Yarrowia lipolytica: one gene and its partners. The protein of the gene in region 3 interacts with the protein of the main gene of each other region in a biochemical or structural test. Links are inferred from orthologs where the notes say so. Each region holds a gene or a part of one and is shown on either strand. Other genes may lie near its edges.

Region 1 (2,897 bases), on a different chromosome or scaffold from region 3:
GGAAGCTCTAGTTGATGGTCAGACCAATTGGGTGGCTAATCTTTCCAATGCCTCGTCGATCATCTGGCACGGTCTCAAATCGCTCCCCGAGCCATCCAGCGACATCAACTGGGCCGGCTTCTACGTGATTGATCCTAAGAAGTCTGAACAGCTGATTTTGGGACCTTTCCATGGTCAGGTTGCATGTCAGGAGATCCCTCTGGGCAAGGGAGTGTGTGGAGTTGCTGCCAAGGAGCAGAAGACCCAACTGGTCAAGAATGTGGAGGAGTTTCCCGGGCACATTGCATGCGACGGAGTCACCAAGAGCGAGATTGTAGTTCCCATTGTGTTGAACGGTAAGCTCTTCGGTGTCATTGATATTGACTGTGCCAGTCTAGAGGGATTCGACGAGGTGGACCAGCAGGGACTGGAGAAGATTGCCTTGATTCTGGCGAAGTCTTGTGAGTGGTAGCGACCATTCAGATAAGTTATAATGTGTAGAAATCAATACGATACAGTGTCTCGTTGTATACATACAGTGCAGTCTATCAATACATAAATAAGTCCTAAATACTGGCTGGCCCAACCAGAAAGCAGTCCTCCACAATCATCTCACCCAAACAAAGAAGAAACACAGGAAAATGAAGGCGAAGAGACCGAGCCAGACTCTCCAGCCAATACCGCTGTTGTCGGCCATGATCATCATTCGCTTGAAGGTGCCCTTGAGTTTCGTGGATGCATTTTCAAAAGTGTCCTCCAGGTTGTTGAGCAGGTGGCTGGAGTCCCGGATCTCCACTCCGATCTTGCTGGTCACGTCCTTCAGCAGCTGCACCTTAGCAGACAGACCCTCCATTTGCTCGTCGTTCTGGGACTCCAACTGCGACAGCATCGACGTCGAGTACTGCTTGTGGCTTTTAGGATCGTACTCCTCCTGCTCGGGAACGTAGGGCTTGGCCTCTCCAAAGGACGAAGACGACCCGGCGTACGGCTGTGGAGGTTGAGGGGTGTTGATTCGAGAAGAAGCCTGGCTGGAGGCTGGTGATCCGTATTGTGCCGAGGAGGCAAAGAGTTGATGTCTGAGTTAGTTGCTGTGCACGGAAGAGAGCCTTCATCGCAATAGGTACTCACCTTGAGGTCATTGCTGTTTGTTGGTGCTGAGGTTCTTAGACTTTCACAAACCTCATGCACATGAACACGCAAAATAAAGACACGATTTGGTTCCCATGTTAGCCAAATAAGGTTTCGTTGAGCCCACCTCGTGGTCATTATTTCGGTGGCGATAAGAGTCGTTGAAAAAAATGAGACATTGTAGTTGTTTTGACACGTCAATATTTTTGAGTCATGTTTTTCAATTGTCAGAATATCATTTCTCCGGAGCTATTTAGTTTGTTTGCTGTGTCCACTGTAGAACACCTCATTCCTGCTTACTGCATGAAAAAAATGAGTGCGTTGTGTCGATAGTCGATATGAACTGAGGCCGACTCAGAGGCATAGAAGGAGTGGGTGATGGGTGGAGAGCAGGGTGACATGTCTATAGTGGTGTTTGTGGTATTGATTAAGCAGCACTTCAAGAGTGAGTATGCCGTATATTTTACTGTAGACTGACCGTGGCTATTTCGGCAGATTGGTTGATTATATTTCGAAATATTACATAGATCAGAGTTAGAAGAAGTTTCTCATTCGCACAATACTATGAATAGTCTGTTACTCCATAGTCTCTATTTTTTATTATTATAATAACATAACTGTAGGTCTTCGGTCCTTCAAAACTACTTCACAGTAGTACAGCAGGTAGATGCCTCGCGCCATTACTCGTAATTGTAGTTCGTGAATAGAGTTCTGGTCCATTATCAACGAACACATCTTGCTACAAGTAGGTAACATTCACAATCTGACAGAAAAGAAACATTCATACAATGATCCCTTCAAAACACACGACTATCAAAGATCTAGACATTGTCACCTATGCATTCAACGACAAGATCTTCGTCAATATCCACAGCAAAGGAGCATACACTAGATCATACTATGTTCCCCTAAGACTATCTCCAGGCAATCAGTTCTTTGCACATACCGAATATGACGACGAAGGCGAAGACATCAGCAATCTGCCACTCACTCATCTCACTCCCATGTCGCTAATTGGAGGCTCCAATGCTGACACATTGGGTCAGATCATAGCTGTCCAGGTGGCGTCCCAGGTAGTCAAGGACTCGCCCACAGAGGTGCGAACTGTGTTTGTGTCCATCGGCCGAGTCAGTCAGGACGACTACGACGACGTTCTTGAGGGAGTCAAGCTTTGCCGTGTTTGGTAATTGATTATGGGTGTTGGATTGTGTGGAGGTGTGGGAGTGGTTGAAAAAGAGCCTTGTGACACCCGTCGATTCGTGTGCCTGCAGTGGGACTATCACCAGACTCTTTACGACGAGTCTGAGCTGTTATTTCTGCGGTTGACTATGGTACAACTACAAGTACTGTCCTGTACTTGATAAAATGACAGTCGACCCGGTACACACAGTGTAAGCACGTTCATCAGTTGTGATCGACAGCACCTACTGCACCTACAGCACCCCCCTAGGAACACAGGTGCTACCGCGCCCATAGCCCACACTTGTGATCATTGCACCAGAGGACAACTGAACTAGAATAAAATTTAATATCATTGCATGACTCTCGATCGGTCAGTCGAAGCGTGTTCTCTGATAAAGGCAAGCTGGGACAGAAACAGTGTGCCAGTACTTGTGGAGTAGAACCGGCTAGTATGAGAAAGAACCTGAGCCAAAGAAATTGGTATGAAATCAATCTAAGAATATTGTATACATATATATCGACACAAGCACTGACACTCAATCTCTGACGCCCATTTGATTCATCTTTGCTCGATAGTCAATATTCTGGGTTTATGCAGCTTACATGCA
Region 2 (3,471 bases), on a different chromosome or scaffold from region 3:
CCGACTCGGTTTCGGTTAACCTCATTGAGAGAAAGCATAAACGAAGTACCGTAGGAGTTCGACTTGAGAATGGCGCCGTACTCGGAGTTGGCCTTTCCGTTGACGGTAACATGCAGGAAAATGGCGTGGGTGGTAGATTGCAGAACGGTGTAGGCCAGCTGTTTGGGGACCTTAAAGTCCGGAGGGAATCGAGCCACGGAAAAGGACTCACCGTCCACGGATGTCTGGCACTCGAGAGTCTCGTCCTCGTCATTGATGACGGCAACAACGAGGAACTCCTCAGCAAGAGCGAAATCAAGCACGTTCTCGTGGGTCACTCTTTGGTTTCGGAAGTTGTCAGTAGAATAAGCCAGTCGGGACTTCTTGACGCCACCCTCGTTGTACTCAAACAGACAGTACATGAGGTTGTTTCGCTTCTGATCCTTGAGTCCGTTAACGTACTGGCACATGATGGCTCCGTTGCCGACCTCGGTCCATCGGCCTCCGTTGTTGTTGGTGTAGTGAGTGACCACCTTACATCGAGGGGACAGCTCGTCTTCACAGCCTTCGGATCCGGTCCAGATGAAAGCGTCCTTGTTGTTTCGGTCAAAAGTCATCAATTGCAGGCCTCGCTGGTTCGGGGGAGCAGGTGTTCGGAACGACTTGAATGACTCGCCCTTATCAATGGTGAAAAAGACCTTCTCGTCGGGGGTCAAAAAGTAAACTCGGTTCTTGAAGTGGGGGTTGGGGTAGATGGCAATGATGTCCTCGCCCTTGAGCACCTGCTTGAAGGTCTTGCCCTGGTTGTAAGTGACATAGAGATCGTTTTTGGAGGTTCGCAACAGCACCACCTCGGCGTCGTCGGGAGACGCATTGGTCATATCGTTGGTGAGATAGTAGTGCTCAACAATGAGTCCCGAAAACTCGTTGATGGTGGAGCTGATTTTTGTGCTGAGGTCATCGTCAGCCTGCGCAAATAACGCCAGCGACGCCACGAGCACCAGTAGCCGTGTCAATAATCTCATTGTGTGGGTGTGGTGAGTGTGGTGAGTGTGGATGTATTATGCGTTGTCCCTGTGCGTCTACTGGAGATAGCTAAAAGGGTTCGATAAGTGGCTGTGTTCACGTGACCAACTGAAATTAAGCGGGTGTGAGCAACAGAATGTGATGATAGTGTGTAATCAAAGCAAAGAAAATGAGCTGATGTGAGATGGAGCTGTCGTCAAAATCCAGCTCAAACGTTTTAAATTCACTGTCGCTTCGCGTGGCGCTCGCTAAGGTGTATCGTCTTGCTAATGTCGTGTTCAGTGTGTGCCAAAACGGTAGAATTGTAGATCACTGGGGACAGCCGCCTATAAATGATTTCCAAAAAAGTGAAAAAAAACGTTTTCAAGGGCTCGGACCGGTGAAAAATTTACACTCTTTTTGTGTTTGGAATTGGGGTGGCTAGCCACGGACGGGGGTAGACACGCCCTGTGATTGGATAGCAAAGTCTTGGCTTTTTATCAGATGCGCATGCGTCTCTCATGGGCCATATAGAGGGACGTTTAGCAGGTGCTAGTGGATGAAAATGTAACGTATTCAGGTGCGGATTCGTCTTTGGTGGTCTCAAAACTCCCATCCCAACCTCGATCGCTATCCGAAACCGCCGTTTTTGCCACCCCAGGCTCCTCCCATCTAATGGTGTGGTGGCAATTATGCACACTCATCAGATAAATGTCTCTTTAGAATTCCGCCAAGCGCATGTTCTGCAGCGCTAACAATGTACTACAGGTGGCACTGGCGACCTCCGAAACTAAGGCTTCTTTCCTAAATCGAAAACCTCGGATTCGTCCCTATTATTGATGACTAAAGTAGTTGCACTCGGATGAGTAATCACCGAGACAAGTCTCACACTATCATGTTCGTATTTGGCCTCCCCCCGCTTATTCCGCACTAACCTTGTTGCGATCGCCTGCTCCTTTTGGCAGCGCCCGAACTGTATATGCCGAAACCTAACACACAACACACACACAATGTCAGCATACCAGCGAGAAGAGCAAAACAACACTCGGCTCGAGGAGCTGGCGTCGAAAATCTCGTCTTTGCGGTCTGTCACCAATGACATCCACGCTCAGGCTAGCGATTATTCGCTTATTGATTCCACGGTGAGTATGACGGAGAGTGGTGGTCCATGAGGTTGTCATGCGGAGACGCACACAGAGAGAGTGATAGAGAGAGGAGAATGGTGCTAGAAGTCGAGGAAGTACCCAAAAGATGTGGCGATGATTCCTTGATTCTGATCATATTCACGACGTGCCATGGTAGTTGATTATCTTGTTGAACTGGAGGGATCACATGCTCACGGGCACGCGAGATTATAAAGTATGTTTTCTCAGCAGGCTGAAGAAGACCGAGCACGACATTTCATGATCCGAACGGCTTGAATACTTGATCTGAATGAAGCTCTGCCTTCATCTGGCGGGTCTGGTCTCACTATCTTTGTTCTATTGGCTTGTTTTACGAACACCTCTGACTTAGGGGTGATCTAAGAGTACGAACTTGGATACTGGCATTCTCTCGATCTGCTGGTTTCATCTATGGTATTATTATGTGTCTAGGACGTCCTCAGCTGGCTTCAACTCCTTTTTCCTGTATCGTGGAGCAGGGGAACCTCAAAGGAATGCAGTACCGGGGCGATTGTACCCTTCCTAGACATTTCACCCAGTCCAAAACCTCACTTCTTTTACCCTACTAACCCAGACGGACACTGTTGGAAACATGATGACCTCGGTCCGAGGGTCTGCTTCCAAGCTTGGACGGTCGCTCAAGGCCGGACACCCCATCTGGCGAACTGTTGGCATTGCTCTGGCCATCATTCTCCTGCTGTGGTTTCTGTTCAAGTTTTTTTAATGCATGAGGAGAGTAGAAGTACTGGTAGTACCATGAGCGCGTTCGGCGCTGTGTTTATAACTAAGAAGATTGATCGTAACACCACAGTACCGATACCCACGTACTGATCTCATAATACGCAAAGCCTTATCCTATATAAACAGAGAGCGCTGTTTACTTACTCTCGTCCTCCACCAACGTTAATATCCTTACCCAGCCGGTAGTTGGAGATGGATTTGCCCCAGTTGATCTTAGATCGAGTCACGGGCAGCTGTCGTCGCAGGGCCTTAAACGAATCCTCGTTTAGACCGTTAAATGACTTGTTGAGCTTCTCCTGGAACTGCTGCTCGGCTTTGGAGATGGCGTCCACAATGTCAGATTCGGACACAGAACCAAGGTCCACCTTCTCGCTGGACTTGAGACGGACATTTCCGTCCTCGTAGTAATGCACATCCACGTCGATTGTTCCGCTCAGAGAGCCACTCTCGAAGATGTACACAGACCGCCACTTTCCGTTCCAGTAGTTGGCAGGGTTATACTTGCCATCCACAAGCACAAGGGCGATAGATCCGTCATCCTGAGGAAAAACCCCAGCAGCCCCCTCGGAGGGGAAGTGGGCAG
Region 3 (4,350 bases):
ATATCTGTTTGGCCTAGCACTGGAGCTAGGGGCAGAGCTTGCCATTTGCCCAACCCCAGACCACAAGCACAAGTTGATCTTTGCTTAAGCCATCGCTGCTCCACATCCGTGACTACCATCTAGGGGTGGCGCTAAAAGACTACATCTAAGCACGACATCGAGAACGGTGGTTTGGACCGAATTAATGATGTTACGGAGAACAATGGTTGATATTGCTGTTACGGAGAACAATGGTTGATATTGCCCCCACCGTTGCTGTTGTTATGGCTATGGCAAGACATTATAATGTATTTTTTATGATGTAGCCGAACTGTAGGTAACTATGTGTACAAAAATGTACAAGTAGTGCGTGATCATGGGAGCTCTACTTACATACAACAGTCCTTGCTCGGTCGGTGAACCAGATCCGCCTCTTGAGTAAAGGGGGATACGGTCAAGTATCCACCCTTGCAAGATCCAATAGTATATCCTTTCTATTACATTATTACGTGCAAAGGAGTGGCATAAAGTACAACCCCTAGCCAATCTCTCTGGCTCCTACTTGCGCTCCTACTTGGTGAGTGAGGCCAGCTCTCCCAAAAACACATCGGGTTTGACCACATCTGTTCCTCCGTAAACCACCTTTTTTCCTGCCTTAACACCGTAGTCCATCAGATTGGCGTACTCAGCGTAGTTGGCACCTCCAACCACAAACACAATGGCCTCGTTGTACGCCTGTTTTCGGGGCGGCTTTGTGCTGGAGCCACGCACCGACGGGTCGAAATATAAATAGTCGTCGGTAATGTCGCCAGACTCGGAAGGAGACACAATGCCGGACACAATTCGGGTCACGGGCATATCCTTGTTTTGTGGCAGATACGACTTGACGTTGGAAATGAGGTTGCCAATCTTGCCGGACGACAGCTTGGAGGCAAAGTTTCGGAACGATTGCTCCGACGTCTGGGGCTCCTGTGCAGAAGCAGCTGACGACTTCAGCGCCATCATTTTGGACAGGTCCTTGAGCCGCTTGACGTAGTTGAGCGCAGCCATGTCCACTCCCTGTGTGCTAAGAATACCCTCGTACTCCTTCTGTTCGGCAGCCGAGAGAGTGCCGGATAGGTAGACACAAATATAGGCTCTCAGCTTGTCCGTGCCAGACAGCTCTTCGTTCTTGAGCAGAGGCAAGAGAGCCTGCTTGTCCAGCCCGTCCTCGGCCTCAAACAAAATATCCAGCTGTCTCTTCTTGATTCGGTCCACCAGAGCAGTGGCAATGTTCATATGCATATCGATGACGGCTTTTCGAGCCGTGAGTTTGGGGATGGCCGAGATAGCCTTCTTGAGATGCGTGGGGGATGCATCTGTGTCCATATCGTTGATGTTGGCGCCTCCAGTGATCTGGCTGTACTCCTCCTTGTACTTATTGACTTCATTGTCCATAGACTCCGCCACCTCGGGGAAAGAAAGAAGCGAGTTTTGGTTCCAGAAAAAGTCGGAGGGCGCCACATCGTACGACTCGGTGGTGCCATTGTCTTTGGCGATTCGGATCTGGCCTCTTTCGGACTCAAACACGTCGTGAACCAGTCCCATGTAGTTGGACGAGTGCTGGAGCATGGACGCGAGATCAATGTTTCGGTCAAGAATCATGAGCACCGGTCGCGAGAGAGGGTTGGTGGTCAGTTTGAGGTTGTTGACGTGGTCTCTGAGCTTGGAGTCGAGTTTCTGGGCGACCATCTCGGCGGCGTTTCCTCTGGGACATCGAATGATGGGAATTTCACCCTGGGTGACAACCACAGAGAACAGACCAGACACAATCTGGTCGACGATGGCATTGAGCGAGTCCTCGTCCATCTTGGGGGATGCCAGCTCAGAGTAGATGTTAGGCAAGGCCAGAGAGAAGAGGTTGGCCTCGGAAACAACGTAGTTGAGGTAGTGGTCGTAGACCTGAGTAATCTGAGAGGCTGTGGCCACGTTGTCGGCTGCAAAGGTCTCCAGCAGCTGACGGGGAAGAGGAGACACGAAGTTGACGGACGCGGATTCGTAGAGCTGGGAATGCAGGTCTCGCGTGATCTTTTGAAGGTTGTCGGATGTAGGTCGCACAAAGTACACCACCGGAACGTCAATAGCGTACCGATCGGAATCCAGCAACATGTGGATGGTGACTCCGTTCTGGAACAGGTCGTTGACTCGCATCACCGACGAAATCACATCTCGGCCAAACTTGTCGAAGACCAGCACCTTCCAAGCCTGGCTTTTGTTGGCACTCCCATTTTCTCCAGAGAGAACACGCGTGATCGCGGCTGTGTTAGTCAGCGAATCATTGTCGGTTAGTCACGTGATACTCACCAATCTGCTTGTCTCGAAACGACTCGGGCAAAGTGCTGTTGTTCATTGGGCTAGACTTCCGAAACTCCTCTGAAGGAGAGATGCGTATGTCGTGGTCTTTGGAGATAAGGTTAGGTGGAGCGTGTCAGTCATGTGACCAGAATGGGGAAAAAGCACCGTGTTGGGGAAGAGTGAGAGTGGTCAGGGAATTGATCGGGCAAGAAATGCGCTGCTCCAAACGGCTGTTTCGAGACAGGTCGTATCGGACAAGTACTGCAGCTTGTATTATGTAATTTCACTGGTGTCCTCTTCTGGACGCCCTTACCCTGTCCCAAATAGGAGGCCAAGGTGATTTACCTATTTGGACTAGTGCAGTATGAAACTTGCTGAACAGGTGAAAGATGCAAGTCAGTCATGTTCGTATGTGGAGGACGGAGGGCTGCCGACAGGTTTTCTGCGACCATACATCTCGCCGGTGCAAGTACAAGTGCGAGTACGTTTACTTGTACTCTTAAAGATATAAAGAGGCTTGTACATACGTATGCCTGTGCTTGTACTCTGCAAGTATACAACCCCTGTTTTGGATACATAATCTGGAGCAAGTCATGGAGACTGTACTGTACAAGACGAGTGTCATTTGATGCGAACAACACAAGACGAGCTGCAAGAGGCCCTGATACAAGTACAATTACTTCCACCTGTACATTAAAACACGCTCGACCACCTTACAATCGCCTGTACTCGTGCATCATACCAACAACGTCAAGTCGGAACCTTCAAACGCGTCCTACAAACCAGCGATGGACGATCAGACAGGTTCACGTGATGTCGATGGCATCCAAGGAGCTTCCACTCTCATCATGTGTCGTTCGACACCATCTCTGGTGAACCTACGAGTACCGTCACATTCACAAATGCCCTTGTCCAGGTCTGGCAACACGAGTTGTAGACACCACACCGCACCCAATGAACCACAAGCACACAGCCATCCCTTTCCGGGGTCTAGCCAGTACAGTTAACCAGTGAGACTGATACTCCTTCCAGTCCCACTAAGACTGACCCTTGACAGGGGTCTACCAGCTCTAAAGGGATCAAGCCGGGGCAACAGTGTCCGCAACAGTGTCCGCAACAACACTGCAGCCACATCAGCCTCTGAGGGGATCATCTGAAGAAGGGCCATCTGAACCACCGAAGGAGCCTATATGCTTGAAGATGGACTCGGGGTCGTGAGCTGGCACTGCAAGTAGCGACGTGATATCCACGATACGTTCGAAAAGCAGCGCGATCCACGATATGGATGCATGTACAGGTACCCGTATTCCACGGACCCGTTCTATCTCTCCAACACAACTGTCACCATGAGCCGCATCAAAAGCCGTCATGGATCACTAGCGGTAAATGAACGTCTCTCCTTCCACCCTTTCCTCAACTCCCCGCCAAGCTCCCCCGGATCTTTAAACCCTTGCTATTAAAACGGCGTAAAGGTAATCAAGGGTGGCGGTGGAGTGCGAATGCGAACACTCGTTTCTCTGGTGCTATGGTTCTCCCGGCGCGTGACCCATTGCCTACCAAGGCTTGCAGAAAGGCGCTAGTTTAGCCGGAAAAAAGGACTATGTCTAAACGAAATCTAAGCGTACGTGGACAATGGGCCCAGAAGCAGGCCGCTCCACATGTTTACGTCATGGCCACTAGCGTACAAGTAGCGATAAACGCGGATATGGGGTGCATGGGGTATGCTCAAACGTGCAAGTAGCACCAGGGAGTAGGGCTAGGTCCGAAGCCACCGCCGCCGCCCTACTGCCCGCTTAATTGCTTTATTTACTCTTAGCGTAGACTTTGGATCATCCCAGAAACGTAAACGGGAGACATTTTGCTATTTTTACCCGCTCAGACAGGTCCCAGACATGGCTTGGAGGGGCCAAGTCTTGTACCACTAGCATTGCTCAGGGCGAATGTGGACGACAAGGGGTGTAGGATGACGTGTATTGTGCGTGTTTGAGACTGGTCTTGGATCGAGGTGGCCGAAACCAGGGCGCCGCCTCAGCCAAC

What was found.
Region 1: the proteins of YALI1_D25851g (region 3) and YALI1_F32546g form a complex in vitro, tested with the Saccharomyces cerevisiae proteins (2 studies listed by BioGRID). The link is inferred for Yarrowia lipolytica from reciprocal best matches to the Saccharomyces cerevisiae genes SLY1 and BET1.
Region 2: the proteins of YALI1_D25851g (region 3) and YALI1_E06119g form a complex in vitro, tested with the Saccharomyces cerevisiae proteins (2 studies listed by BioGRID). The link is inferred for Yarrowia lipolytica from reciprocal best matches to the Saccharomyces cerevisiae genes SLY1 and SFT1.

The regions. Positions count from the first base shown.
Region 1 is NC_090775.1:3,253,569-3,256,465, forward strand, and holds YALI1_F32546g (uncharacterized protein), read right to left. Parts: upstream 1,119-2,897; coding exon 1,108-1,118; intron 1,056-1,107; coding exon 587-1,055; downstream 1-586. Other genes in the region: YALI1_F32534g (uncharacterized protein), read left to right, coding at 1-451; YALI1_F32554g (uncharacterized protein), read left to right, coding at 1,896-2,294. UniProt on the Saccharomyces cerevisiae protein: SNARE required for targeting and fusion of ER-derived transport vesicles with the Golgi complex.
Region 2 is NC_090774.1:609,984-613,454, forward strand, and holds YALI1_E06119g (uncharacterized protein), read left to right. Parts: upstream 1-1,994; coding exon 1,995-2,126; intron 2,127-2,721; coding exon 2,722-2,871; downstream 2,872-3,471. Other genes in the region: YALI1_E06109g (uncharacterized protein), read right to left, coding at 1-1,004; YALI1_E06137g (uncharacterized protein), read right to left, coding at 3,029-3,471. UniProt on the Saccharomyces cerevisiae protein: Vesicle SNARE required for retrograde transport within the Golgi complex.
Region 3 is NC_090773.1:2,582,852-2,587,201, forward strand, and holds YALI1_D25851g (uncharacterized protein), read right to left. Parts: upstream 2,369-4,350; coding exon 2,323-2,368; intron 2,277-2,322; coding exon 550-2,276; downstream 1-549. Other genes in the region: YALI1_D25813g (uncharacterized protein), read left to right, coding at 1-17; YALI1_D25831g (uncharacterized protein), read right to left, coding at 85-255, 322-357; YALI1_D25856g (uncharacterized protein), read left to right, coding at 2,716-3,189. UniProt on the Saccharomyces cerevisiae protein: Able to suppress the functional loss of YPT1. SLY1 is essential for cell viability. May interact indirectly, or directly with YPT1.